Oreochromis niloticus: one gene and its partners. The protein of the gene in region 2 interacts with the protein of the main gene of each other region in a pairwise test. Links are inferred from orthologs where the notes say so. Each region holds a gene or a part of one and is shown on either strand. Other genes may lie near its edges.

The links.
Region 1: the proteins of ehmt2 (region 2) and rd3 interact in binary tests that used the Homo sapiens proteins (3 or more experiments, as listed by UniProt). The two-hybrid records come from large-scale screens. The link is inferred for Oreochromis niloticus from reciprocal best matches to the Homo sapiens genes EHMT2 and RD3.
Region 3: the proteins of ehmt2 (region 2) and plod3 interact in binary tests that used the Homo sapiens proteins (3 or more experiments, as listed by UniProt). The two-hybrid records come from large-scale screens. The link is inferred for Oreochromis niloticus from reciprocal best matches to the Homo sapiens genes EHMT2 and PLOD3.

What each region holds. Positions count from the first base shown.
Region 1 is NC_031980.2:13,525,473-13,535,510, reverse strand, and holds the start of rd3 (protein RD3), read left to right. Parts: upstream 1-5,038; 5' UTR 5,039-5,193; intron 5,194-9,236; 5' UTR 9,237-10,038.
Region 2 is NC_031985.2:15,479,723-15,490,424, forward strand, and holds the start of ehmt2 (histone-lysine N-methyltransferase EHMT2), read right to left. Parts: upstream 4,942-10,702; 5' UTR 4,852-4,941; coding exon 4,825-4,851; intron 3,412-4,824; coding exon 3,342-3,411; intron 3,067-3,341; coding exon 2,899-3,066; intron 2,789-2,898; coding exon 2,532-2,788; intron 2,104-2,531; coding exon 2,025-2,103; intron 1,917-2,024; coding exon 1,834-1,916; intron 1,744-1,833; coding exon 1,609-1,743; intron 1,509-1,608; coding exon 1,437-1,508; intron 781-1,436; coding exon 669-780; intron 71-668; coding exon 1-70. Other genes in the region: zinc finger and BTB domain-containing protein 12, read left to right, coding at 9,714-9,917, 10,000-10,194. UniProt on the Homo sapiens protein: Histone methyltransferase that specifically mono- and dimethylates 'Lys-9' of histone H3 (H3K9me1 and H3K9me2, respectively) in euchromatin.
Region 3 is NC_031967.2:75,610,358-75,620,865, reverse strand, and holds the start of plod3 (multifunctional procollagen lysine hydroxylase and glycosyltransferase LH3), read right to left. Parts: upstream 4,416-10,508; 5' UTR 4,275-4,415; coding exon 4,190-4,274; intron 1-4,189. UniProt on the Homo sapiens protein: Multifunctional enzyme that catalyzes a series of essential post-translational modifications on Lys residues in procollagen. Plays a redundant role in catalyzing the formation of hydroxylysine residues in -Xaa-Lys-Gly- sequences in collagens.

The DNA of each region.
Region 1 (10,038 bases), on a different chromosome or scaffold from region 2:
AAACCACTCCATGTACCAGCACTCCGGCATATTATAGTCTTGTACATCTCATTTATTCTTGAAGGGCATTAAGTCTTTTCAATTATTTATGATGAAAGGCATTCTGGGGGGAAAATGACTGCAGTGTCCTCCATTTGGAGAAGTCACTGCAGATCTGGACTTTAACACTTTCATGGTAAGGATAAATTAAAAGCTGAACTACCAATGACAACAGAGTACACCCTTTTATCCTCGAATTTGTATTGAAGTGTTGTTCTCTTTGTTGGTATTTTCATGTACGCTGGTTAACGTAATGATAACCAATTATTGTTAAATTATTCAATCATTGAATCAGTAATAACCAAATTTATTGGATTTGGTTACACAGAAGAAGACTAGAACCAACCACAGTCTTGCTCAGTGTGGCTGGGGTCAGACCCAGTGGTCTCTATGAGTAACATCCACAGTTAGTTTGTTGAGATGAGGAACTTTTAGAAAAAAAATCCCACCAATCAGCCGACCTTCTATAAGCAAGCACTTGGTGACAGGGGGAAGGAAAAGCTCCCCTTTTAACAGGAAGAACCAGAATCAGATGGAGGGGCAGCCGTCTGCTGTGACTGGTTGGGCGTGACATACTCCACCAGTCTGACTTCTAAAGGTACCTGACAGCCAACGGGGAGTTAGCCAAAAGGTGCCGAGGACCGTAGGTTGGGCTGAAGATTTAGAACAAGTTTTTCTATCAGGAGATCTTGGAGTAGTCCAATCTGATCCCAACAAATCTCGTCGGAGGCCTAAAAACTGAAGTTCACCAGCGCTCTCCATCCAACCTGAGGGAGCTTGTTTCTTTTTGACTGCACAATAAAGACACCAAAGTCAGTTCACTGAACATTGATGCTAAAGACATTATTTCAAACAAACCCGCAGTGTATCTTTGACGGCTTAGAAAATAACCATCAGTACTTTCAGCTGACTAGAAACAGTATTTATTCAAAGCACCAGGTCCAAGTTCTTTGTGTTTTTCAGTACTAAGCTGGTATTAGCTGGTATTATTCATTGATCAGAGTTATAGTGATAACAGAAATGTTCCCTCTCATTTTCCACATTTTGTGCAACAATGTTCGCTCAGTTGTGAGAGGAAATAAACCACAACAGAGATAAGTGAAAAGGGTCAAAGCTATATAATAATAATTTAATTTATGGATGTTATTATTATCAATCAAATGTAGATACATTTATTGTGCGACATTGCTTTTCTGAAAACAAAGCTTTCAGAAATGCTTTCCCCACATGACATTACAAGTGAAAGCCTTTCATTTCACTTTCATTTCATTAGAAAAGTACATGAGGCTAACTTTCTCTGCCAGATAAACAACACTTTATCCTCACGATGCTGAGCAACATCACTGTCAGTGCGGCTGAGACAAACAGGGACTGTTTGCAGTGTTTGGAAACACAGACTTGAATATAGACTAAATCAATTAGCCAATAATTTGCCAACACCCAGGCTTAAGAGAGATCATTCTGCACAGAAAGTGAACTCCAGTTTTCCTGGAGGATTTTATTCTTTCATTTCATTACATTTCTACCCATCTGCCATTGCAATATGGCCGTGACAGCCAGCAAATCACGCCTCAGGGTGGCCATGCCAAGCTGACTAGCCGACTGTAAGCTGGCAGGCCGATCTCAGTGCAGTCCAGTGAACAGGGAACGCTGGGATTTGTTTTACATAACGTGTTTTTGTAAAGTATGTCATCACTAGTCTTGTTCGTGTTTTTTGGACATGTTGGGGACAGAGCTGCTTTGAGAGCTTGATGTAGATGGTTAAAGGTGTCACTTTCAGCACGCCCACACCTCTGCCGTTCCCCTCAGCTGTAACCAGGTGTTTTGACACTTTGTTTTTCAGCCCACTTTAGTGCTTTTCACGCACAGCTTTTTTTTCTTAACGTCACAGATTCAAACAGCAGTTTGACAGTCTACAAGTCCCTGGTGTGCAAAAAAAAAGGATAATGGAGCCAGATGTTTCTCTCAAGAGATGATGAGGAAAAGAAAAATGATTATTTTGCTTGAATTTGGATGGAAAAGTGATGTGGAAAATGATTTTATATGTGTCTAGTGTATGTTTTACCATGTTAATCTTTGTACTGTCTTGTCAGTCAATGCAGGTTTAAATAGTTTAGCACTTACAGGTATCAGTGGGTCTGGCAAGAAGCTGTGTTTTTACCTTTGTAGTATTTTTAATACAGTTACCTGACAAGTGTTGCTTCCTGTGCGGTTATTTGTCCTAACAGACCACCTAAAACATCAGTCCTCAAGATTAAGTAAGTGAAATTTTATTTTTTCTTACTCGGCACTAATTAGCAGGTTCACATGTCTGTGACAATAATAGTAAGAAAAAACAAAACAAGACAGCATGGCGGTGGCCGTAGTACTAAAATTAAGATTTCAAAGCCAAGTTTCACAAACCTACAGGTGATGTCAATTTAGGTATTTCCATCTTTTATATACAGTACTGTGCAAAATCATGAGCCATCCCTCATTTCCTTATATTTTGCTAAGAAAATGGGAACAATTTATTGAAATGTGCAAACATGCACCAAAAATTTAAGTAATTAAGGTACAAAACAGATTTTGTACAGTTCTAATTTGATATTACCTCCTTCAACACAGTCAGTCTTGTCTATACTTCAGTAGTCTTCAGGAATAATTCTCTACTTTGGATGTCGGCTGCCTTTTGTTCCATTTTTGTCAAGATGATCTGACTCTGCTCTGAGGAGGCCAGTCCATGACTGATTCCCATTTGTTCCTTGTCCAGGTTTCGTATTTATTTATTTTGAGACACTGCACATAATGTGGAGATCCCAAATATCTGTCCAAAAGCTCATTGAAAATCACCTTGTTGTACAAAAATATAGTTTTATGCCTGTCAAACTTGACATTTTTCATTTCATTCATTTGTTACCGTTTTCTAAGAAATGGTAACAAATGTAAGAAATGGTAACAAAAGTAAGAAATGGTAACAAATGATGCTGCACAGAGATGCTTAGTAACAAAGTGCGATAATATAAGATAATATTTAATATTCGTTCTTTTGCTAAGTCATCAATTATGTATAGACACAACAGTGGTTCATCCCTGGAGTTAGATGCCTTTTTTAAAACCCTTTTTTTAGGTGGAAGACTTTTGCACAATGGTGTTAAAGAGCTGTACAGTTAAAGTTAAGAAATACCTCTGCATGTTTCCTGAAGGTTACCATAAATGCAGAGCTGACATTTGCATCAAAGGACTGGTGCTAGACCACCAGTTCAAGTAATCCTCTAAATTTGTAATTTTGCACTGGAATATAAATAAAAAAAATATTTCATTAAATACTTGTATGATGTATCTTGTACATGTAAACGCTTTTTTTTGCTTGATTTTAAAGTTTCTTTATGGCTTCTTTTCCACCTCCTCTGACTGCGATGATCTATGAGAACATTCATGTCGCAGCACAGATTCACTGACCTTAGTACACACTCAACAATCCACACACCCCACAGAGGCTTTTCTAGTAAAATGGGCCGCTGGACAAAAGCCAATGAAAATGGGGATGTCAGCATTTTGGAGTTTTTTTTTTTTCCTCAGTCTCTGCTCTCATGTGATCTGCCCTGCATTTCCTTCCCCATTGTCACAGCAGAGGGCAGTTTGGGACATTGCTGTCAGGCCAATTTCACTTCCAGGCAGAAGTCTGATAACATGTCCTTTCTTCCAGGGCTTTAGGGTTACAAAATAATCAAAAGTTTGAGTCGAACAATGAAGGAGGTGGATTGAATAAAAGAAACAACGAAACACCATGATAGCAGGACCAAGGCCCTCTGATAAGTGGATTTTTCTGCATCGCAGTTCTTCGTTACTTTTCTTGCCTTTGGTTTCCAGAAACTCTTATCAAATCCTCCATTCATTTAAAAATCTTTTCACAGTGAAGAACCTGCTTTTAAAATTTACAACAAAAATATGCTTCAAAATATCAAAAAAAGAAACAACACATGCTGCCATCCAGATTACGCCTTCTTTAATGGGATGCTTTGTTTATTTTAAGTGAGACAATAACCAAAAGGATTCAGCATGTACTTTTCATTCATTCAGCATAAAATCATGAATATTTAGGAGCTGAAATCCAATGGAATTAAATGGAAATGGAAACTTCTAGATGACACCTTCTTTCTTTTTAAGTATTTTTTTTTCAAACTGTTGTTTAACCTGGAGAAAAAAAAAAAATCATGTTTAAATGCCTTCTCCAAGAAAGACATCAGTTCAGTCAGAAGAAGTGGCAAAAATACACACAAATAAATCAAGACTGAGATTCAAAAGCTTCCAGCTTATAGCACTTCATTGGTTAATTAAGTTAAGTTGCATTTTTATCAGCTTGACACAATCTGGTCATTCTCTTCTGATCGCTCCAGGCAGAAGAAGGTACAAAGGAACTTTAAGATTCTTGGGACCGAAGACAACCGCTTCCCATACTTTTCTGACAGATGCAGGTCACTAAGTAAGATGACCTTATTAGTAAGGATATGATTATATGAAGTCTTTAGAAGGACAAAGTAGACCAACCATCCATAACATTCAGCACACAGAGGTGAGAAGGGCTTTAAAACTCACAAATGATGAACCAGAGATGTATATGACATGTTTGTGAGCGCTGTGGATGCTACAGGTGGATTTTGTCATCTGTGGACAGAGCCAGAGTTACTGTCTCAAACATATATTGAACTATTCCTTTTAATAATCGAAAATGTGTTTAAAAGGTTTTATCCACTAAACCTTTGCTGAAGTTAGAGTTTGGGGGCATTTTCACACCAGTAAATAAAGGTCAGGGCTCAAGGTCAGATTATGAGACCAGAGTTTAGATTGTCACTTTTTTTCCCCCTTGGGAGACAATACAAGACTGTGGCGAGATCAAACAGCTTTGAGAACTCACAAGTTGGATATTTATCACGGAACAGAGAAAATATCTGAAAAAAAAGAGACAAAAAGTCAGTGTCAGAGGAACAGACCTCTGACGTCAGTGCCAGTGTTTTGTGCTCGGCTCATCATGTGACTCTTACTCAGTTAACTTCAGTGTGGAGCGCACAAAGCCCGACGCGTGTGGAAAAGAGGCTGACAATGAAACAAAGCTCACGTTCAGCACCGTGTCTGGCCATGACACTTCACTTTAATGCGCAACCAGCTCTGAAGGTTAGTGCGACTTTTCTGCACACGTCCCTCCGCTAACAGATAACACCTAACAGATAAATATCTGCTGAAGTCCTCCTCGCCCCTTTCATTTGTGTTGATAGTTCAGGAATGTGTTCATGCATGTGGAATAATGTTGGTTCAGCAGGTGAGGCTGCCTGTTGTTTGTTTGATCCAACTTTTCAGGCTTTTCATCTCGAGAATGTCAAGCATGAGTTCTCAAAACAAAACAGCTTGCTCCCTCTGCACCCCTTTTTCTCCACCCAAAACCTGTGGTGACTATTTTACCAGCAAACCCCACGTTCTTGCAGAGATAAAGAAATAAACGAGTTTATGCGGGGTGTATATGAAGCCTCTTGGCAGCTAACGTGGTCAGCTTCTTCCCCCTTGTGGTGGGTTTGGGTATTGCAAAAGCATGAGGCTCTAAGAGGAACTTAATCATCTGGTTTCATTATGATTTTAAGTAGATTGCTAAAAGGCTAAATACTAAATTAGATGCAGGCCACTTTAGCACAAAGGAAGTTCAAAGCATTACAAAGTATTTAAATGCAGATTTTAACATGGATAAAACTGAGTGAGAACTTGACTGGATTTATGGAAATCCCAGTATATACATGAAAATGACCAGAGTGCGTCCAGCTGCCTCATGCCTCACATGATGTCTATTGTTGTTCACACCTTCTCAGTATTGTTTTCCAGGCTTCCTGCGATCAATCCCCTGCTTGTGTCACTCTGACTCACTGTCTACATTTGCCGTGTCCTGTTCACCTTATGGAGCTTAAGAGGTTTATTTATCATGGTCAGCTGTAGAATGAAATCACCTTGTTCACTCTGAGTAATCAAAGCAAATTTACTAGTACAGCAAAAATAGATTTTTGATGCTTGATGCTGAGCTGTTTGCAGTGAAGTGCCGCGTGTTGAAATAATAACATATTGGAGCACGAAGAGTACATTTACAAGGAACAGTTTAGGCCTGAAAAATGATCAGTGTAAAAACGGGAAAGACCAGCAGAAGGTTTTTGGTTTATCTGTTTTTTAGGATGGGCGTAGGTGAAGGGATTAGCACCTTTGGGCCCGGGATTTGAATCTGAGTGGAGTTTACATATTTTCCCCATGTCTGTGCTGGTTCAAACTGGACTTCCTCCCACAGTTCAAAAGCATGTCGGTTAGGTTAACTGGTGATTCCAAATAGACTATGAGTGTGAATGGTTGTGTTTCTCGGCCCTGAAATGGACTGGCAACCTATCCAGGGTATAACCTGCTTCTGGCTCTATGACAGCTAAAATAAAGTGTAAAAAAACAACCCTCTGCATTTGATATTTTTCACTGTTTTTTCACTGTTTCACTTTACTACAGAGATTCCTTATATTATTGTGACCAGTAGCAGCACAGTAAACAAGAGTAGCCCACATATTTAGGGCACATATTTAAAACAACAACAATATTATTTGCGTAGCACTTTAAAAAAACACCCAGTTACAAAGTGCTTCACAGTTTGGATAAAACAACACATTAAAATAAGCCTGCAAAGCTCTCATTAGGACCTCATAGCTACCAGCACAGTACCAGTCTTCATGCTAAAATAAGCATGATGAATGAATTATGCAAAATGTGGAATGATTTCTTTTTAAATGCACATCCTGACTGGTTTTGATGGACTTTTTCTGATCGTTTAATGCAAAACATGCTTGGGCAGTCACGGAAACCCATTTAAGAGCCTATTTTCCCAGAAAAACACCACGCTGTCCCACTGCAATAATTTTCACCCACCTGGTAATTGTTTGTGATTCAGTGCAAATGCAGACAGTGTGATTCTAACCAGTATGCTACCCAGAAGTGAGATGCGTCAGATCACACATCAAATCTGCCAAAGCGTCCAAATGAACTCAGCGCCAGTGACGCACTGTCCGAGCCCCGTCGCCGCTCACTCTGAGTTTAACATGGGGCGGATGGAGGGAATCACTTTAGAGGATTAAAACTGTCATCTGGTTGGATTACAGCGAGCGCTTACCTGCCCATCTGTCACCTTCAAACTGTGGCAGACAGACTACCTTTGGATAGTGGAGGCCTCAATCCAGCCAGACAGACTGAAACCATGACACAATTGTGTTGGATGTTTGGAAGTATGCAGTGCCTTCATCCTGTGTTATATGACATCTTCTATTTGTAAAGAAGTGCCCGAAAACTCAGTGCATGTGCAGCTTTTCATTGAAAACCCACCTTGGATTCATTTTTAATAAAAACTCAAGGGAAATTAGGCAGTATAGAGACTTGGACTGATCAATATCACTTAATCATGAGCTGTAGGTGACACAGGATCTTTAGGTTGCAGGTTATTATTATTAAACAGATTAGACCCATGTACAGAATGAAAATGGTCAAAGTGCCCACTTAACTAAAGAGCTACATTAACACTTTTAGATTACATTACATGTACATGAATACATCAATCAGATAGATGTTCACAACCTGGCAACCTGAATGCTGATATTTTCCCCCCTCTTTTCGTTTAGCATTAATCATTCAGGAAATAAGATGGGAATCAAGAGATTTTAATAACCATGGTAAAGGTAATGTTTGATAATACAGCCCATGACTAAGGGCGTAATTCCCCTGTAACTAAATGTATTTTATTTGAAATTACAGTATAATAATATTTAACTACAAATACTTAATTTAGGCACACTGGAATTAGGGGGTACTCCGGTTTCCTCCCACAGTCCAAAGACATGCAGTTAGTGGGGATAGGTTAATTGGAAACTCTAAATTGCCCATAGTTGTGAATGTGAGTGCGAATGGTTGTCTATGTCTATGTGTTAGCCCCGAGACAGACTGGCGACCTGTACAGGGTGTACCCTGCCTCTTGCCCCAAGACAGCTGGGATAGGCTCCAGCTTCCTCGCGACCCTGAAAAGGATAAGCGGCAGAGAGTGGATGGATGGAATAAGGGGGTAACAAGTCAGGTTTGTTACCCCCTTACCTCCAAGCCCTGAAAGGTACAGTGTGCTAACAGTGTAAGGTGGGAAAATATTGGTTGTTTTTCTGTGAAATGACTGTGTACTTAAAATTACTTACATTATAATTTGTCCCCCTTTCTGCATAATACCCAGAATTTAGGCATTACATAAAGTTACTTACATTACAATTAAGTATGAAGAACGTTTTCCACTACGTTTGCACTCCTTAAAATTATGCAGCATTTGAAATTATGTACAGAATAATTTACATCTCCTTTCCTGTCATATACCTTAAGCTATACAATATTTCAAATTAATCAGGCACTACTTAAAATGAGGTACACATTATAATTACTTAAAGATTAATTAAATTTTCTTGCAATAATAATAATAATTTTTGCTTCCTGTAAAAATCTGATCTATTACCCCTTATTCTAATGCACCTACCTTTAAGTATTTGTAGATAAATATAATTGCATTGTAATTTAAAATATAATACCCTGATAAAGTGTAAAGTGTAAAGTGTGTTGTGTTAGTCCCCGAAGGGAAATTACTCCTCTGCATTTAACCCATTCACCCAGTGAAGCAGTGGGCAGCCACCAATGCAGCGCCCGGGGAGCAGTGTGTAGGGACGGTACCTTGCTCAGGGGTACCTCAGGGTAGCCGTTCAGTGGAGTCGAACCCCCGACCTTCCGATCATGGGGCAGACACTCTACCTACTGAGCAATTTAATTACAGGAGAATTAAGTGACAGGCTGTATTATAAAGTGCTACCAATTATTGTTCATCATTCCAGTGAAGGAGCCGTATATATTTTCTAAAAGTGTAGAGTCTATGCACTTTAAACATAGTTTTGCTTGGTGTAATAATCTGTCCTGTTTAAAAAAATTCCCTTCGTAACTTATTTACAGAAAAATACTTCCTCTTCATTTTACAGCGCCTTCACAAAAACGCTACAGAAACACAACGAAGTGCTGCAGCATGTCATACCTCTTTCATATGATGTGTGTGCTGACTGCAGATTTAAGACAGACTTGAATCATGTGAACTTTTGTTCTCCTTGTTCGCACTGTCTTTATTTCTCTTCCAGGAAACTGGTGAGTGGAGCTGACCTGGTTAGAGATGCACCACACCTGATCAGGCAGGGCTCAGGAGACTGTGGCTGAGGTCCAATCCAGCCAATGCACCCTCCCCCTACACACTTTCACTCTATCTGCACGGAGGAATGGTGCCCACAGTGCAGCTCTATCTGTCTTCAGCTGCCTGGCCGACTGAAAAAGCTCTTTGTGTTTTATATTCATACTCTTACGCAGAGACAGCATACTTATTCACATGACAGATTTACTTTCTTACTTTAACACTGCATCATTATTTAGATTGTTATGTAGTTTTGAGGCACATTGTGGCATGCATTTAAGAAAGAACAGTTTCATGAGTTTTGAGCCTTCTTCCTGAGCTCAGCTCATGTTAAAATGCTCAATTTTCCACAAAAATAATCAGTTTTTTAACTCACCTGGTGAAATTATTAAGGCTTATTATTGAGAGTGTGTCATCTTTGACAGACTGGTGGATGCCGATACAGGTGTCTATAGCTACTAGATGTCTGCTTTGCTTCACTTCTGCTAACTGGAATAACTGCGTTGTGCTTTTGTTTCCTTTTGGATTATTCGTTATGCCTTTATCTTACAAATAATACCGTTTTCTGTGCCATATTGTTTGCCATATAATTGTACTGACTGACTGCGTAAAATTCTAGGATTTTATTTGGATCTTACTAATTAGCAGGTCTCTGGGACTGTGTGATGCATCCATATGGTCTCTGGGTGCAGCTTGCTAAACCATCTCATCTCATCTTTATCTTTAATCCTCATGGCATGATGGGAAATGCTATC
Region 2 (10,702 bases):
GTCAGACTGTCAGCAGCAGCAATGTCCAGAGCACCCAAGGGAACCTCTGTGTACTCTGCAGACCTTCCTGCTGAGGGCAAACCAAACAAAAAAACTGTAAGCACTAAAAGGAACTGGAACGTGATGCTCTTCACTCATGCTACACAGCTTTTAATGCTTTACAACACTGAAATTTTAAAAGCCACTTAGGCCTTTTCTCACAGATCTATGCATTATCTGACAGCTGTCTTAGATAATTTCTATGATCTTTTTAACTTTTCCCTTAATGCCAATGTGTCACAAATATGCAACACAAAATGTTTCTCTGGCTTCTTGCTTCATGTTCTTCATGCTTCATTTCCACTAATTGACAGGTTGGTGGTTTGTGTCACAACTTTTTCAGTATGCAAATGTCCTTGGGCAAGATACTGACTCTAAATCCTTCCACATGCATGCATCGATGTGTATTATAAAGGACTGAAGACCTCTATGCATATAAAAGTGATGTATGAATGTGTGCGGTGCATTGTTTTTAATTGTGAATAATTTGCTTTTTTTAAGAGCCTGGATTTTTCAAAATCTTCTGAAAAAAAAAAATCATTCTTTTTGCAAGGAACGTGTTTCAGGTTACCAATCTCTTTGACAGATGAGTGTGGTTCAGAAAGTAGGAAGTAGATGACATCACTCACCTCCCTCCGTCTCCACGACGTCAGCCGCGTTTCTCTCTTTGTCCTGATCGGACAGTGGCCACGAAGACTCCTCGCTCTCTCTGACCACTCTCTGTGTTTTAGACTCTGAACTCTGCAAATAAAAAATAAATAAAAAATAAACATCTGAATATAAAAATATAACATTTGTGAAATAGTGTGGTTTTTAAGTAGTGGCTGATTATTTTAAAAGTCCAACCAAAGTTTGAATTTTTGAGGTTGTTAAAGTTTCAAGCTAAAAGACTCCAGTTTATACGAAGAGCAGCCAATCAGAAGAAAGCTAACTTAAAGGGAGATAAAACACCTTGCTGGTAGATATAATGAAGAGCTGCATCCATGGATTCTCTTATAGTGTGCAAAATGACTTTTATAGAGTCCAAGAACAAATATATGGGATTGAAAATAAGCACAAAACGTCTACCTTAAAAGTACAAATTCCTCGGTTTACTGACAAGACAGCAACTTTAAACTTGAAGTGTCTTAGTCTAATGACACATAATGAGTGTGTCAGCATCTTCGTGGTCCAACTCCTTAATAATGATCCCGCTGCAACTTACTGATGGCTTATTTGAGCTAAAGACATTTGTCACGACATGTGGATAACCCTGCATATCTAGAGTACATGCATGGCCATGCTGGCTAGAGTCACGTGTACAGGTGTAAACAGAGTAATAAAACAGGAAGTTAATAGAAAAATGAGGAAAGGAGTATTTAACAAGAAAGCAAATATCAAGCCAATAAGCTACTCACGTGATCTGAGGTGTTTACTGGCCTCTCTGTGTCTTTAGCTTGCTGTCTTGTTTCTCCTTCACCATCTTCAAACTGTAAAGCACAAAAAAAGCTTAGTTTACTTTAGCTTAAAGTTCAGGTGATAAACACACTGTAGCAGTGTAATGTGGGTTTACATTTGATGGCTTCAAACCTTTTCAGAATCTCGCCTGGACGGACTAGAAATCTGAATTCTTTCGCCTACTTCTTCCTCGGACTTCCCCACAGAGCTGATGCTCTTTCCGGGTGCAGTTTCAGACTCTGCTTTTTTATGGAATGACCTTCCTTCCTGAAAGTAGGATGAGAGACAGATATAAAAGGGACCACAAACAACTGTTATTAAAACATCTGCAAAAAACCCCCAAAACAAGTGTCTCACCTCATTATGAGCGTTATCGGAAACATTTTCAGATCTCTCAGGTGTGCCGTCTGATAAAGGATCCAGCCTCCTCCTCTTTGCAACTTTAGAGGCAAAACAACGTGATGCAAACCATGACAAGGCTTAGTTTTAAAGTAAAGCAGTAGTTAATGCTCATTTAACTCTTTTACTGTGAGTTTAGACCTACTGACCAGGTTCAGAGTGAGAAGAAAGACTGGCTGAAGATCCTGAAGGAGTCACAGATGCAACAGGTGTCTCAATTTGACTGATCTGAGGAACAAAATTAGTCAAGCGTGTTTGTGGGTATATTAATGTCATTTTAAATGCAATTTAAGACCAAACTTGTGATGGAAGCAGAAACCGAAAGAACAAATATCCTTTTGATCCTTTCCAAGTTTAGGAACACTGTCCAGATATGCCTATCAATCTGGAAAGGAACAAAAATATCATTGTTTTCCTAAATGATATCCAATTTCCCCAAGTTTTAAACCCTGTTCGACACACAGCAGGGATTTCTCCACAGGCATTTAAATTCTTGACAGCTTTAGGTCATTTTGAAAGGTTTAAAGCAATTTTTAAAACACAATAATTTAAAATAAGCACCTTTAACAACTGGTAGAAATCTAGATAATAAATCATGAAAACCCATATATTTACCAAATATGATTGATACCAAACAGGAGTAGCTCCTCTCTCACCTGCCCTGGTGGAGGCCTGTTCATCGTCTTTCGCGCCCGATGGATCTTGGGTGGTGCAGGGGAGACAGATGGAGAAGAAGCAGCTGTTGTAGAGGAAGAAGAGGAGGATGATGGAGGACCAGGCGGAAGGACAGATTTACTGCTACCAGGCCCTGAAACGCTCATCTTTGCTCGGCCAGGAGACAATGTCGAAGATGTGGAAGGAGACGACGACAATGACGAAGAGGTCGTCGAAAGAAGGGAATTTGCTGTGTGACCTGACAAATTAAAGCAAAAGGGATTATCTCCTCAGTTTGTAAACTAAGTCTGATTAAATCAACGAAATCAACTCAGAATTTCGACAGCAGCTAATGCAATCTGAGCTCACCTGCAGCAGCAGGTTTGTTCTGGGGGGAGGCGGCAGGGGACCATTGTTCTCCTTCCTCTCTGACTGTGGAAGCATCCTTCTCGGGCTGCTGGGACGACAACAGTGATGACATAACACCCATGGGCTCCGTCTTGGTGGCAGCAGCAGATGAGGTGAAGGCTGCATTATCTGAGGAATATCCGGAGTGCAAGAATTTTAAAGTTTATCAAGGAGAAATAATTTCTTGGGCATAATGCTACAATCTGCCGCTTGATGGTAGTGCAATGATGTGCAGCATGTCATAAAGCTCAAAACATCTCAGTCTGATTTCTTTAATATGACAATTCACTGTACTCATATGAGATCAAATGGCATTCACAGGTCATTTAATTGCAAACCAATGCAATGTCTTTCAATATATTTCAAATATTAACATTATCTGCATAAACCAGCTGGTGAATTACCTTCCTTTGTTTGACTTGACCCAGCTAATGACTCCTCTGATGTTTTTGACTCGTCATTTTCATGGTGCTCCTGGTGGACAAAACAAGAAACAAGTGAAACGAGTAAAACTGATAACAGAACAGGCTCTTATTTTAATGATTTAATGAAATGATTGCAGTTCAACCAATCATTGGTAGAATAAATACACAAAGAAATTATATTGTATATTTGCATGCATGCAAAATATACAGTTGCTTGAAAAAGTATTGGCCCCCTTCCTTTATTTTTGTATGTCTGTCACACTTAAATGTTTCAGATCAAACAAATTTAATAATAAGACAAAGATAACACGAGCAAACACAAAATGCAGTTTCTAAATGAAGCTGTTTGTTATTAAGGGAAAAAAAAATCAAAACCCAAATGGCCCTGTGTGAAAAAGGTATTGGCCCCTAAACCTAATAACTCCTTGTAGCGCTGTGGAGGAATTTTAGCCCACTCAGCTTTGCAGAATTGTTGTAATTCAGCCACAATGGAGGGTTTTCGAGCATGAACCGCCTTTTTAATGTCTTGCCACAACAGCTCAATTGGATTCAGCTACAGGACTTTGACAGCCTTTTTCACACCAGTGTACATGTAAAAGCATGCACTCTAGAGGTCTAAATGTGGATCCACTACACTCATTGTATCTCTGGCCTGGTAATATTTTTGGGCCTAGCAAGTTCTCTTGATAGAAACGCTTCCTACTGACAAATAACACAGGACCTCAACCAGGGGCAGCAGGACAAGGATATGAGGATACTGTGAGCATCATTCTCAAAAGTGTTGTGTCTGTTCATTTGACAGTACAATCAAAACTGTCACTAATGTCATTCTAAAGTTATTTTAGGTAAAAAAATAAAACCCACTACTTTCGGCCTTCACATCTCCAAAATAAACCCGTCGGCCAATAGGTGAAAATTTCTTTCATGTTACATCAACTGCCGCCATGAGTCAGTAATTCCATTCATGCTTTTTACACGACCCAAGAAAAACCCCTTACTCCAACAGTACACCAAAAAGAAACGTGAATTTAAAACGGGATTTTAAACTCCGACTGCTTAAAATCCTAATTTCTTTTCCTGTGAATTTCTCGTTGGTGCAGCATTTACTTTAAAAAAAAAGCTCCTAACTAGCAACTACGAATAAAAACATATCCTAAAAAACAGATCGAGGTGCAATACTTGCTATACAGAGGATTGCTACAAAGGTTACTGGTCAACAAATACAAAACAGCAGCAAAACATCATCTGGATAAGAGTAACCCTGCAGGTAACACAAAACTGTTACAGGCTAACACTGCTAGCAGTGCAGCCTAGGTTACAATAAAAAAAGCTATTATAATCGACATGCAAAGTCAAGAGGAGCTTGGCAGTATGCAGTATCGGTAAACTGGGGAGTTTAAAGGTAGACGAATAGACGTAAATTCCTTTAGCATGCAGTTTTCAGCTGCAGTACGTTAGCTACCTTTGTCGTTGTCTCAGATGCCGACATGTTTCCCAGTGACCGTCAACGTATGTGAGCGTGCTGCGTCACGGCCGGAGCCCCGCCCCCTCGATGGATGGTGGGAGGGGGGTGGTGCCCATAAATTTTTTTAAAACTCGCTGATCAGAAATCAGCGTACGTGCTGTCGTTTTACGGCTGACCGCGAGGCGAAGTCGCTTGCGAAAACAGACTCAAAGTCAGCTAAGCGGCGAAATACGGGGCGGTTTGTGTTTGTTGTCACGAGGTATGCCTCCTACACCCCCCTCCGAAAAAAATAAAGGGGCCGAAAAGTAAACAGAAACCCAGGCAGAAGCTGGTGTCGTCTGGAGGAATGAACAGACAGCGCTCCCGTTCGGCTAGCATCTCCTCATTTAATGGTCACTTCATTTAAAGAACCCCGATTTGCTTTCTGGAGAGCCCGCAAGGCATTCAAGGAGAGGAGAGGCGAAGGTGAGCAGGCGACAAAGTTTGACAATAACTGAGGGGGTTTTGTTCGTTTGACTGCTGCTGGATAGAAGAAGAGACGACACGAAAAGGGAGCTGTTAGTGAGTGGCTAACGTTAGCTAGCTGGACTGGAATGAAAAGAGGAAAAAAACGTGTGTTATAGTCAGCTTATAACCACCTTTACTAGTTTATTATAGGCTCCGCTACTGCTGAAACGCACGAAACGGTAATCTTTTTTAATATCCGCTTTTCAAGCTCAAATGTTAGCCAGTCTAACTTTTCAGGGTCTGTAAGTCCTAAACATGACATGGATAAGCATGGATATAATTAGCCTGTTTATATCACATCAGTTAGTGGATTCCATTAATATAACATGTCACTAAAGTGAGCTAGCATTATATAATTTCCTCCCATAGGTCCTCTTAACCTTAGTTGGTGTTATACCAAAATTGAAAAACACTGATTTTTTTTTTTTCAATTGTCTTTGTCAGTTTGATTTGCGGCTACCATGGATCTTATTTTTTGTTGGCCACTAGAAGCATTCTTAATCTACATATTTATTGTGCTAATTGACCAGTTTTCATCCTTTATTTTGTTGTCATTATCTTGAGAGACAGTATTATGCAAAAGTCTTGAGCCACCCGTTATTTCTTTATAGGAGCCAGGCTTTCTTGTCATTTGTATTAAAGTGGTCTTGAGCAATAGTTCTCCGGGCTTTCTGAAATGCTCTTTAAAATATTTATTAGGATGTTGTCTTCTTTTTTTCACTCACTTTCAGTCCAGTCCTTGTATCTGAACATTTTGAGAGACAGACAGACTGAATTTTCGGAAGAATCTGAATCGCTGACTTAAAATATGAACATGAAACATAGAAAATGTAAACTGTATATTAAAAAAAGGCACCCAAAGTGCAATATTACATTTAAATAGTTTTTTTTAAACCCCATTATGTACGGTATAGACAAGGTATTACAAGTGAAAATAGGTGAGGTGTGATAAGGAAGAGATATTCGTTGGCTTTAGGTAGGAATGATTATGAGGTCCATCATGGTGGAGTGAAAAAGCTCCTGTGGCTGTCCAGCACAAGATGGAGAGGGTGTGAAGGATTGGCCAATACTGACCATAACTGGGACAGTATCCTCCTTTCTGAAACCTCTGTCAGAGACTCCACACCCACAACATTACTGGCTTCAGTTTATTGAGTCTGTTGTTATCTGCTACTCTCTGTCTGCTGACAGACTTTTTTGCGTCTGTTTGTTAAGCAACTCAAGACTGACCTATGACTCATTCGAGCATTTAAAAAAGGCTCCTAACTTAAGGGATGAACCATTGTTGTGTCTACACATAACAGACAACTTCACAAAGAACCAATTTAAAATTTTATCTTGAGGCATTTTGTTACCTGCCTGTTGCTTTAACACATAATTTATTCCTGTTTCTTTTTAGTTGAATCTATGAAAAGTACCAAAAATAACACTTTCAAAGATATAAAATGGTACTTTTGCATGAACTAGGTGTTCCTAAAGAGTTACTAGCTGAAGACTTGGCAAAGCTTGGCTTGGTGTGCAGTGTGTCCTTAAAAATTGATTAAGCTAGACACAGAGGTCCAAAGAAGGAAAAAAAACAATCTGCAGCTGTTGGACAGTATCTGAAAGTCCGACAAAGACCTGACAGAGGACCCGAGAGATGCATTTGACCCCCCAGTTGATTCATCTACTGTTCAGGAATTATATCAGTGGGTAGGTGGCTGTAAAGAAGCCATTAGTAAGCCTGAAGTATTCCTGAAGACTACTTAAATAAATGACAAGAAAACCTGCTTAAGAGAGTTCAGGGTGGTCTTACCAAATGTTGACTTTCAAGCTTGTTAGAATGTACAAGCTCTGTTTTTCCCTTTTTTATTGCATTTCCTTGGAAGTAGGGCTGCTCGATTATGGCAAAAATGATAATCACGATTATTTTCACTGAAATTGAGATCTCGATTATTTGACGATATTTATTTAACAATAACAATGTATTGAATAATGGCTTTAAAGATTGTCAAAAATAATATAAAATAGTGTGCAAATACTGATTACAGTGCAAATGTTTGCAATATAAAAAATAAATGAAAAATGTAAACATCTATGTTTAGTGAACTTCAAAATACTGCACAATATTTGATCCACGTCTGACTCCGCGAACCCATAATGTTTCCACACCACTGAAGTCGTTTTACCTCTCTTTTCAACCAACGGCATTCTTTCTTCAGCAGCCATTATCCTCTCTCCAAATAACTTCTGCTTAGCTTTCCGAGCTTTTCGAGCTTCCCTCGGGTCCTCTTAATTGTTGTGACGCGTGTTCGAAACGCAGAGAGGTGCGCTCGATTTGCCACACGGAGCAGCGCGAGAGTAAAGCACGAGGGAGGTGCTAAAAACCGGCTCAGTCATTTTTAATGATCGTTGAAAACCCAGATCGTAATCGAGATTAAAATTCGATTAATTGAGCAGCCCTACTTGGAAGTTTGCATACATTTTAATAAATCGCTGCACCCATTTCTCATTTTCCTAGCAAAATATAAAGAAATCAGGGGAGACTCAAGACTTTTGTACAATACTATATTTTATAAATCATTTTGACAACTGTTAGCTCAGTCTTACAGAAAAGGAGTTTACTCACATTAGTTAGATTTTGTGAAGATAAGAAGGTATGAATCAGACAATTATTTGCCAAATTAATGGTTTTAATGGTCATGTGGCATTTTAATTTCTTTCTCTTACACCAATAATGACAGATCTAAGCATGAAACAGTTACCCAACAAAAGAAGGAATATTGACAAGTAAGTATCAGAACATTTATTTTTTTTTCCACCTTAAATAAAAACCGTAAGATCTATAGAAAAAATACTGGCTGATCACTATTGGAGAATGTTTGGCCTTTTGTTAGGCAAAAAAACAATCAATGAAATGAATTATTTTGATAACAGATTAATAATTAATCCTAGTGTCAGTGGAGCAGATGATTAACAATCACCACTTTGATGTCTTCGTTTCATTTCCCCTTTAAAGATTTGTTATTCAAACAAACCATCAGCTGATTCCTGTTCTGCAGCGCTTTGTTCTTTTTAGGAAGCTTCCTTTATTAGGCAATAGGCAGTATTGCGTTGTCCTTGTTTGATCTCATTATCTGTAACACTTTCCACATTTGTTACACACTTTGAGACCCGAAGGTGTGTGTGAATTTTATGAAATGTGCAGCTGAAGGAAATGCTTTTTGTCACTGTCAGTTCTCTATAAACAAAATATCTGCAGAAAAAGCCAGTCTATATTTTATTTAGAAAAAAAAAATACATAAAATACTCCTATAATTGGATCACATTTCAGCTATCCAATAATAAAGCCAGCAATATAAAAGAGCATCTTTAATGAGTGTGTCTTTGAAGTCAGAGAAAAGTTTCCGGGAACAGGCACATTAAAAAAAACCATAGACTTTACCTGATTACTTAAAAGTATTGAAGGATATCCAGTTAGGTTGAAAGAGCGAGCAATGCAAGTGTCTGTCAGGAAGTTATCATAAAAAGCAGCTGGGCTGAGGCCAGATCAGAGGTGCAGGAGACGATAACCCCGAAGGGCAAGCAGTATAGATCCATGCCTTCATGTTTATACAAAATTGTTACCTACCATCCAAATCCAGAGATCAAGACTCAAAAGGCCAGGCAGCATTTTTCAAATCTTCTGTTTTCCATTTTTGGCACTCAGTGTGGTCTGCTGCTTCGAGGTTTGGCATGTTTGTTCACAGGTGCTCTTCTGTATACCTTGGTTGTAACATTATTTGATTTACTGTTGCCTTCCTGTGAGCTTGTTGCTGATCTACTGGGATTTTCCCAAAACCAGCCTGTCTGGCACCCACAGCCATGACACATTCAAAGTCACTTAAATCACCTTTCTTCCCATTCTGATGCTCAATTTGAACTTTACTAAAGTGTGTTGACCATTTCTACATGTCTAAATGTGTTTAGTTTCTGCTATATGATTGGCAGATTAGATAAGTAAAAAAGTTTTAATCTTTCTGTGAAATCCATTGAATCATCTTCCTTTTAACCTCTGTGCATTTAGTACATATATATATATGCTCACATTAACAAATAATAGGAGTAATCTGAGGCATGTGTTTGCTGGCACAGTGAGAACTCCAGCACAAGCTGGAAACCGAAATCCTCTGCTGGGATTTCGGTTTCCAAATCTTTGCTCCCAGCATTGACCTTGTAGTGTGGACACTTGAGTATAAACAGAATACAAACCTGTGATATGATATCCTTTCTTAAACCCTCATCACATTACACTGTGGGAGTCTAATAAGTGATTTGTGTTGTTAATCTTTTATGAAAGGCTCACCTGTACGTATTTAAAGAAGTGAAATCACCTACAGATTCTTGTTTCTCCTCAGAAGATGGAGTTGGTGTGTTTCCGGCTCCCGGGACATGGGGACATGACCCTGAAGCACATGAATTCACTGAGATTTCGCCAGCATTTCTGCGACATCACTATCGTGGCCAGTAACAACCAGACGTTCAGGGGACATAAGGTGGTGCTGGCTGCCTGCTCACCCTTCCTGAGAGATCAGTTCCTCCTCAACCCGTCGTCCAGGCTTCAGGTAGGCCGACGTCAGCACACGTGCCATTATGGCTCCTATTCAGAGTAAATGAAGCTCTTCTGTGTTCCTGATTTTTCTCCAGGTGTCAATGCTGTACAGCTCCACAGTGGTGTGTGATCTGCTTCAGTCTTGCTACACTGGTATCCTGCAGTTCAAGCCAGAGGAGATCGTAAACTACCTGACGGCTGCCAGCTACCTTCAGATGGAGCACATTGTAGAGCGCTGCAGAGGAGCTCTGGAGAAATATGTGCAGCTGAAGAACCCCGGTCCATTGAAGGTCAGTCAGTAAAGATTAAATTATATTTCTTCCTGCTTTCTTACCTGGAGTTTAATTATTAATATTTATTTAGTAATTTAGCACGTAAAGCAGTCCAACTATAATTTTTTTATTTTCTGATTACAGGTTTTTCAACTGGAAATCTTGCACCTTTTTCACCCTAAGCTGTGTGCACATTCTCAGCACTTGCAAAACTTAGAATGATAAAGTTTTACAAGATTTTCTGTAAACCTGTTTTCCTTTTTTGTGCACCCGAAGGGAGAGAGTATGTACTCGGTTCAGTTTATTTATCTCTGCTTTTTGGCACTCTAGCATCCACAGTTTTCAAGATATAATTTTCAAATTTTGTGAGATGGTAGATACCAATAACAGCTCGAGCTGTTTAATTTAGGTGAAAATCACGTTCAGCTGTTATAGCTGTCTGCCAATATCAAGGTCAAGGTCACACAAAATGTGAAAATCAGTAAAAACTTTACATTACCCACAATTTTTTAATGGGTCGTCATCA
Region 3 (10,508 bases), on a different chromosome or scaffold from region 2:
ATCTTATGGCGGGTGTTTGGCTTCGTAGATCACAGATCTTTGTATTGTATCTGTCCAGATGTTAACGCCACTCAGGCTCATCCAGCTTCTGAGAAGCTCCAGCTCCCAAATATCCAGCTGCTGCCAGAATTCATTCAGGATTAATTATTAAATAACTGATAAATATCTTTTTGTTTTTTAATTTCACGTTTCTAAATTCATCCTCTGCAAACTTCAAATGAAATACATCAGTTCTGAAACTATAAATAAATGCTCCAGCTGTGGAAGTCTGTAGCTGGAATAAGTGTGAATCCTCATGTGAGGCTGAATGGTGGGAATGTTTCTTCCTGTTTGTGGCTCGAGTGTCAGACAACAACCCCCCCGACAGTACTCGCACAGCTGTGGGGGTTTGTTGTCTCTTTCCTCATCACGCTGCTTTCCTAATGAATGAACGACAAAAGCAGGTGTGCGCCAGCGAAACCGAGTCACATCCTGACAAACGATTCATAAAGTGACCTCTGCCCAGGTCTTCCCTACATGTTTATACTGAATCATTTCCATAACCAAATATGAGCTGAATTCATATTTCGCTCCTTACAAAGATGTTTGTGTGTTTGCCGACTCTCATGGAAATATGTTCCTGACACGCATGATGAAACTATAAAAATGGCTTCAGGAGACTTCCTTTTTCCATTCCTTGATTTGAATCTGTAGCACCAGGTTGGAGATGTGGGCAGTAATGTGGAGCCTTGGAGAATGTTACAGATCCAAGCAGCAGATCTGAGTGGGCTCATTCCTTTCATTTTCACATCAGTTTGCACAGCGTGCACATCATAAACACATTTTGGATTCTTTCTCAGCTTTGATCAAATGTTTTTTAGGGCAAGTAGGACACTTAAACATCGAATACTGGGGATTTTCTTCTTCTAATGAAGCCAGAAAATTTTCTACCTGAGTGTTTTCAGAGTTACAGGCTCTCAAAGTACAAAGAACTATTGGCCCAAATGTGGCACTTTTTACTCGTTTTATAGCCCTCTTAGCTATATAAGTTCAGGACATTTCCACGTTATCGGTTTAAACACAAGCAGTTCATACTATGAAGGTACTACAGCTGATTGTGAGGGGGTCAGGAGGAAACGTTTCACAGGAATGGCCCATATGAAGGAAATACATGAAGTTTATATCAACATAAACATTTAATGTTTGTCCAAATAATGTTTGCATAATGTTACTGTGCTAGTGTTAACAAGCAGAACTGTTCAGAGCCTCACACATGCAAGCATGCAGGCCTACAGACTGTTCAGAACTACCTGCTGGGTTCAGGTGTTTGAAGTTAAACCTATCTGGACATTTTTTTTTTCCAGACATTTTTTTCTGGGCGTCTTTCACTACTCGGGTTAAACATGATATATAAGTCACTTATATAACTTAAAAATGTTATCGTTTTGCTTTTGTCAGTATTTTATTTGTTTCGAGTAAATCAGTTTGGCTGAGATTAAAGTTCTAGTTTTTACACAGCTGAATAAACGTCAAGCAGACAACTGATTATCAGAAGTGTGAGATGCTCGAGAATATACTCCGGTGTCCTGTTATATTTTACCTAGCAAGGAGCAGACGGCTGAATTTATTAAACTTCACCTAAACAACCTGCAAATTTCATTAAAATTTAATAAACTCTCATCTTGTCTTTATGTTTAGTTAGCACATACCTTAAACACTTAAAGCTGTAAGCTAATGATAGTTGTATAAGAGCAGATGCATGCTGGTGCAATAAGCTGTACGTTTTACATCCAATGGATGCATGATCTGATTAGTCGACTAATCGCAAAAATAATCGGTGACTAGTCGACTATCAAAATAATCGTTTGTGGCAGTCCTACTACCGACCATTTCCATGTACACAAAGGATTTTCCATTTTGCAGACTGGAGGGGTTCACACCGGAAACCTGCAGTTCAAGTTCCACATGCGACAGACTTCAGCTGGGATTTTCATCAGTGGCACAAACCCCAGCTGATGGAGATCCATACGGCCTCATCTGGGCTCTGAGCTGATCCCTGTTCAGCTTTCTAAGGACTGACCACACTAAAAACCACCTTCTTCCAACCTGCCAGGAGCATCTTCCAGCCTGATGGGAGCACCATGTCAGAAGACATGACAACACAGAGCCTCGGAGAGATCCCCAAATTAACATCTTGGGCCCATGGACACATCTTAATCTGATCCACAATCTATGATCAGTGCTTAAAAAGCAGGTGGACAAACAGAAGCCTACAAACTGTGATTAACTAACAGCCACAGAGATCTGCAGCAGTTATGAAGAAGAGTCAACATTGTAAATGACTCCTATAAAAGTCTCTAACAGAAATGTAAAAAATAAATAAAAACTGATGAAACACAAACTCTGTGACTGCAGTTATAACGAGAACCAACTCTGTTAAGTTCAGCCAATAGAAACTCGTCATGCTCAGTGTCATAAGTCAGATTCAGAGACGCTGAGCACAACATGGAGGAAGTGCTCAGATATACAACGACCTCCCAGAGGAAGAGGAAGAAGGCGAGTTTAAGTAAGATGTTCTCACTGGTTCACAAATTCACTTTGTGACAGAGGTACAGCCTCTCGGGGTTAACTTCACTGTGTCTGTGATTGTCTGAGGTGTTTTAGGGAAATACGTCTTCAGCTGAGCTGTGTTGTGTGCCATAGAACCTGAGAAAAACTGAGACACTTCATTGTGAGCTCAGATATCTGAAGCATTCAGATGAGCTAAAACACCAGCTTATTATCTATTATTAACAATTTAACAGCTTCTTTATATATACAAAAAAGGGGTTTTACTAAAATATAACAATCCTGGTGTTCCTCTGAAGAACAAGCATCAGGACTGGGATAAAAGTGCAAGCAAAGAATTCACTTTTATGTATCAAAAGACCAAAAATATGAGGAAAGTGCACAGGACTTCGGTTTGACTGTGTCTCAATCTCCAAAAGTTGATTCTGTTCATCTGGACGTAGCGTCTGTGTCTCAACTACAAACAAGCAGCCATACTCAAAGATCCTGAAGGAGGAAGAACCTGTAAAACTGATTATTGATTTGATGAATGAATTAATCTCAGGATAAAGCAAAATAAGTCTTTAAACTGGATCCCATGAATGAGTGAAAATGGCTTCAGATTTCAGTCCAATATTTAAAAACCTCATTTGTTCAGTTATTTTTTTCTGTTACTATCCGAGTGTCTGTTAACTTTTTAAAAAAGGTTTACAACAAGAAGGAAATCTCCTCCTCAGTGTCCCATGTCTCACTCTGCTCCCTTTAAAAACGCATCACATAAGTAATATAAACATGAATACAAACCACAGCTGAGCAAACAAACCTCACAGGGGCACCAAAGACAGGACTATATGGAAAACACAGATCAGATTTAAACCGGTTATTCTTTTTAAAAACGTTTATTCTGTGTAAAACATCATCGTGAGAGGTTCATGATGGAAATCATTAATCCTGCTACATAAACATGCTGTGGGCTCCCACAGTGGCTTTTTAAAACTAATTTAATCCACTTACAATAAATGTTTGACTTATTTAAATGCAGTTAACTAAAATTCTTTATTCTTATATGATTGTAAAATATTAAATCAAAACAATCATACTATTTTAAAAGTCCCAGCTTTCATTTGAAGCTGTAAAACCTCGTTTGAGTGGGTTGATCAGTGATTTGTAATCTTTACTGCTGGATGTAAGCATCCCTGCGTGAATGTGTGTCTGTTTGTGGGGATGTCTAACTTTCTTTAATATTTGAATTTTATCCTATATGTGAAGCACTTCGTACCTTTGTGTTACTTTGATTAAAACTGATACATGTTAACCACACTGTGTATCCGCAGTAGAAACGAAGTTGCGCATTAAGATTTTCCAGAGTTTAGGGAATCATTAATAACCTGTAGGGATTACAATAAGAGTATATGAGGTTATAAAAGGAGCAGGGACCCCTGTTAAAGTTTGCTAACGGTCCTGTGGCGCTAACGGTTTTAATCATTAATAAACATCCTTCCTAAACTCACCCAGCAGCAGAATAACGGAATAAACTCTGAAAATAGTGAATAGGTTTGTGACGTGATGAGCAGCCTTTCCGTAAACCACCCGGAGCTCCACAGCTCCAGCGGGTTACGGTGGTCCGCCTGGCCGGCCAGGGGACCCCGCACAGCGGTCTTACCTGGAGAAAGCTTCCGCTGTTCGGCCCACACGGCGCCCTGGAAAAAGGCGAGAGACAGCAAGCAGAGAAGAAAACAGGAGGACATGTTGGATGTTTGGAAACGGCTCCCTTTAGACTGTAGGCCGTAGCTTTAGTCCACTCTTTCTCCTCTCTCCCCAGCCCTCTCTCTTCACGTTCACCGCTCAGTCGGCACTCAACTCTCGCGATACTCGTCACCTTTTCCGACTTTTAAGATAAAGTCGACAGAAACCGCAAAAAGCTATCCAGCCAATGAGAGCAGAAATGGCGCGATACAGCTTTGACGGACAGAGCTGGTATCCAATCAGCGCAGATAGTCGGAAATCCACCAGCCAATAAGAGGCAGACAGATGGGAACTTTTTTTCTCTCCGTTTTTCGGTGGGCTAAACCACAGAAAGTTCGTGAAAAATGGAGTACGTGAATCTTTGCCACGTCTGAGGCTTTCAGGAGAGGGAGGGAGAGGGAGAGACATAGCGAGGACATGGAAAAACGGAGAGAGAGCGTACGTCGGCAGAGGTTTTATATAGCTTTAAAGTTGCATGTCTGCAATTATAATGATGTTTAATCATTATAATTAGACCCAAAATGTAATCATAATTTAGTATTTATTTACATAATTTATTTAAGAAACAATTAACATTTTCCTAATGAAATATTAATACTGTGAGTTCTTTTACTGACATTCAGCATACATAGCATTCACTGCATGAATAAACTTTCAAAATCGTTTTTCTTTAGCTCTTTTGTAAAAAAAAAAAAAAAAGAAAGAAAAAAAAAAAGAAAAGAAAAGAAAAGAATCACTTTCTCCCAAATAATTGACTCAAAATATAAAAGTAAAGAGCTGGGAGAAGAGACTGCAATCATAACTGTTCTGTAAATACAGCAATCCAGCATTTATTCTACATTTACCATCTAGTAAGCTAAAAGCATACCTTATTAGAGGGTGGATGTATGGGATGTTCTAAACTCTAGATCACTGGTTTCTTTCTGTGTGTCTCAGGATTTAATAAAGCTACAATCTACACCACAGTGTCACAACAAGGGGCCCAACAATACACAGTGTTAATCAACTGGGACCAGGAATAAGATAAGATAAGATAAGACTTTATTGATCCCACGGAGGCGAAATTTGTGCTGTGTTTCCTTGTTCTTGTAACATTGACAATTAAATCTATTCTATTTTAGTTTAAAGACAGTATTTAACTCTTTGTACTCTTTAACTCTTTAACTCTTTACTCAAGATATGAAAGTAAAGAGCTGGAGAAAGAGACAGTAGCCACACTTTGTTAGCAATTACAAAAATCAAACATTTAGTTATTGTATTTTTAATTTTTATTAAACAGATTTCAGTCATATCACAGTAATCCCTGCATTAACTAGTGGGAAGTGACCATGCTGAAGTCTGGAACATATAGCAGGATGTTTTAACAAAACATCCTGCTATATAATGTCAAATATCACTGTAATTGTCAATATTATTCAGTATATTGTAAATTCTGTGACAGACTGGTGACCTTTCCCGGTTGCCATATGACAACTGAGATAGGACCACTCCCCCATTAGTGATGGGAATTCCGGCTCTTTTTAGAGAACTGGCTCTTTCGGCTCCCAACCGGCTCTTCAGGTTGTTTTGTTGCTTTAATTAATTTATTATCAGCAACAATATAAAATTATACACAAAAGGAATTAATAATGTTTAAAAAAAAGTGGTTTTATTTATATATGTTTATATATAAATATATATGGTGGCCTGTAGAGACAAAGTACATGCAAACTCCAAAACACATTGCTAAACAAAAAGAAGATGCACATTCTCTGTCATATAGGCCTGGGATGATTTTTGGGCGAGTCTTTTCCTCCTTGGAATTGCATAGGATTCACTGCATGAATAAACTTTTTGAATACTTTATCATTCGCAACTGAAAATAGTTGTGGATGATTACTGTTATAATAATAATAATAACTATACCTTTTTAATGTGATGTTGTTGTCTCTTGTTGTTGTCCCTGGCTCTCTTTCTCTCTCTTTCCCTCCCGCTCTGTTCCTGTGCAACTGTGAGTGTAACTACCGCCCCTCCCCTCTCTGCTCAGCGCAAAGCACAAAGCTCACGTGCAGAGTGAAGCGAAAAAAGAAAAGAAAAAAGAGAGAGGATGGGAGAGAAAAAAAAACACGGCTCGCGTTGTTCACTTCAAAGATCCGGCTCTAAGAGCCGTTTCGTTTCCGACCGACACATCACTATCCTCCATCCCCTCCCCCACCATCATGTGACAGGGTCGATGCTCTGTCTCTTCCAGCATTTTGTTTATAGAGAGCGGTAGAAAGGTTTTGAAATAACTTGCAGATTCTGGGAAAGTGACAGTGAAGTTTTTTTTTGTTTGTTTTTGTTGCTCAAAATGATTGAAAAAGCAATCTCTGATTCCAAAACAACAGTAAGTAATTCTTATTTCTCGATCGATATGGGAATGCTAATGCTAATGCTAATGCTAAACTCATAAGGATTAAAGTCACACAATCTTGTTTTTAGATTATTGATCTGAAGTAAAATTTTATAGCTCTGCATTTGGAGGCAGGAGGGACATTAAGGTTATATGTCGCTTACGGAGTTCAAGTTATTATCATTTTTACTCTTTCTTTGGCAACTTTAACACAGATGTTCAGTCAATTTTGGACGGAGAGTAATGAAATCTGCTTAAACCGGCTTACAACACTCAACGGCATTTAAACAGCGCCTACACAGCGCTCTTCACAGAGATGCTGCGCAGCCCTACTGTTTTGAAAAACCAAAATGCCTAATCCTCGAGCAAATACAAATCTATATCCCTGTGGTCGTAACGTTTTCCATCAAATCAAGAAAAAGCAATTAGGAAAAGATATAGCAGGCTATTTTTTTTTTTTTGATAAATTAAAGGCAGTCAGTATCCTATCACCAGAAGCTGTGATAACTGAAGGAGGAAAAAGTGCAAGCCTAATTAGAATAAAAACAAGATGCTCCAAAGAGTTATCATTGTATTGATTAAGTAAATGTCTGTCAGCAACAGGTGTGCGCCCAGGTTCAAGTGAGTTAACTCTTCTGCCCATTGTTTACTATACCTGTCTGATACTACTGAGCAGTGAGCCTCACGGTGGTGGGCTGCTGTGGAAGTGAACAGTTAATTTAACCGTTCTGCTTTGTGTTGTTTCCCTTTTCATTTTCTTCAGACAAACATCTCTGCTGAAACAGGACAAAATGTCACTCTGCTATGTCAAGCTCCAGACAATATAGTCATGACTAGGGATGGGTACCGGTGTGGCACCGGTTCTGACATAAACGGTAGTAACCAGACCGAAAAGCAGCGCACATTTCGGTGCTTTATTTCGGTGCTTTTTTTTTTCCTGAGCCAATTCTAGCCAATCATTTTACATTTCCGAGGATAGTAGCCGGGGCCAGGTACGCGCGTTCTTTTAGAGCAGAGCTACAGATTAAAAATGTCCAAGGAGAAGCGGTCAAAAGTCTGGCTGTACTTCACAGCAAAAGATGCAAACTCAGCAGCCTGCAACAAGTGCTTTAAGCTGATACTGTGATACTGTCAAAGGAGGTAACACCTCAAATCTGATGAAACACCTGGCGACGCATAGCGGGGTTTTTTAAAGCCGAGAAATGCGCTGTGTTTGATAGCTTGCTGCGAGACCTCACACCGTGCACATCTACTGCGGGTGTGGTGCCTGTTATCGGACCCGGAGTTAGCAACATCCCCCAAAAACCCGAAGAGGAGAGTCCTGGCCCCTAGCCCTGCCAGTGTAGCAGAAATGATGAGGATGATGATGGCAGCAGCAGCCGTTCTTCTCTGCGTGAGTAGCTTCATGTTGTTCGTGTGTAATTAACGTTGAGTACGCTAACCACGTTATTACATTAATGCATGTAAGGTGAACTAGCAAACACCGTCGTAGTTACTGTCTTCTTGTTTGATGGCAGATACTCCCTTCACCCTGGCCAAAAAGGCTAAAATGACCAAAGAAAAAGTGGAAAACAATTAAACATGAGAGGGTTTTGGACCAATTTTGTGTTCTCCATTCTTTAAGCACTGGTTTGAGCACCGTTTAAGCACCGTTTAAGCACCGGCACCGTTTCAAAAGTACCGGTTTGGCACCGGTATCGGATAAAACCTAAACGATACCCATCCCTAGTCATGACTCTTGTAAAGTGGATAAAACCAATGGTGGAGAAATATGTGTGTTTATTACGTGATGGTCACGTTCATTCAGAAGGATCCATCTTTTCAAAACTGGGTTTTTTCTTTCATGAATGCTACATTATGGAATTTGATTCTGAAGAATGTGATGAATAATGACCCTGGAATATATGAGTGTTGGGTCTACATGAATGAAACATGCTCATGGAAGCTCATCAACAGCACCAACCTGAGTGATGTTGATCCTCTAGGTGAGTGAGTAGAGTGTATGTGTGATCCATTTTCATGCTACACTCTTTTTTGTGGGAATATTAGTACTTGTTTCTGTATAATATTTCTTTCAAGATGTTTTTATGCCAGCAATTTTCTAATAGTTTTAAAACTAGTTTTAAAAAACTTTAACATCTCAGTGTATTTCAGGTTTCCACCAAATTAAAGTTAGAGCTAAAACTCTTAGAGAGAAGAACTGCAAGGCCAAACTGATTCATTAAACCACAAATTCTGGTTTCTAAAAAATGTACTCGGTGAAACTATAACCATAAGTGTGTCTCTGGAGACCAGACGGTGGTTAAGAGGTTAAAAGCTGAGTGAGTAGAGTTGAGTGTGTGTGTGATCAGAGGTGAAGCTGCTTCCTGGTTGTTGATGTTTGTTTCTAAAGATGTTGTTGATGAGACTTTGTAGAAAGCAGCTGGTCTGAGTGATGTGATCAGAGTGCAGTAGATAATGTCTGACAGCAGTTTGAAGAGGAAATGGATTCTGTTCTGTTCTTCACTCATCACCTACCTGACAGCTGACACCTCACACCTGTTTCTCACCTGCAGGTCAGACAGGAGGACACACAGAGGATGAAGGGAAGGACCCTAAATCTGTTGGACTGATCATCGGTCTAACAGTTTTTCTGCTTCTTGTTGCTGTTGGTGGGTTTTGGATCTGCAAATGTAGACAACAGAGAGGGGAAAGAAACCAGCCTGCTGTTCAGTTGCAGTAGGTTTTTACAAATAAATAACTGAAAAGTGGAGTGCGCATAATTATTCAGCCCCCTGAGTCAATACTTTGTAGATAAGGCAAGATCTGAAAACTGCTGTTCACAAACGCTGTCCATCTAATCTGACTGAGCTGGAGCTGTTTTGCAAAGAAGAATGGGCAAGGATTTCAGTCTGTAGATGTGCAAAGCTGGTAGAGACATACCCTAAAAGACTGGCAGCTGTAATTGCAGCAAAAGGTGGTTCTACAAAGTATTGACTCAGGGGGCTGAATAATTACGCACACCCCACTTTTCAGTTATTTATTTGTAAAAAATGTTTGGAATCATGTATGATTTTCGTTCCACTTCTCACGTGTACACCACTTTGTGTTGGTCTTTCACCTGGAATTCCAATAAAATTGATTCATGTTTGTGGCTGTAATGTGACAAAATGTGGAAAAGTTCAAGGGGGCCGAATACTTTTGCAACCCACTGTATATATTAGTATAATATTTAGTCAACCACCAATTGTGCAAGTTCCCCCACTTAAATGACAGAAAAAAAAGATGAGAGAGGCCTGTAATTTTCATCACAGGTATTCCTCAACTATGAGAGACAACATGAGAAAAAAATTAAAATCACATTGTCAGATTTTTAAAGAATTTTTGTATTTGCAAATTATGGTGGAAAGTAAGTATTTGTTCAGTAACAAAAGTTCATTTCAATACTTTGTTGGCAATGACAGATGTCAAATGTTTTCTGTAAGTCTTCACGAAGTTTTCACACACCATTGCTGGTAGTCCTCCTTACAGATATATGTTCTCTTACAAATATATGTCTATATAGATAGATAGAGATGAAACCAAAAAAAGAAGATAAAAATCACTAGTAAGGAAAAGCAACAAGCTGAAGAGATTTGTTTGGGCTTTGAAACACAAGCGGAAATCTGTACTTTGGCCGGATAAGTCCAAATTTGAGATCTTTGGTTCCACCCACTGTGTCTTTGTGTGATGCAGAAAAGGTATGGTCTCTGCATGCATGGTTCCCACCATGAAGTATGGAGGAGGAGGTGTGATGGTGTGTGCTGGTGACACTGTTGGGGATTTATTCAAAACTGAGGGCACGCTGAACCAGCATGGGCCTTGCTTGTTCTGTTTGCCCTCAATT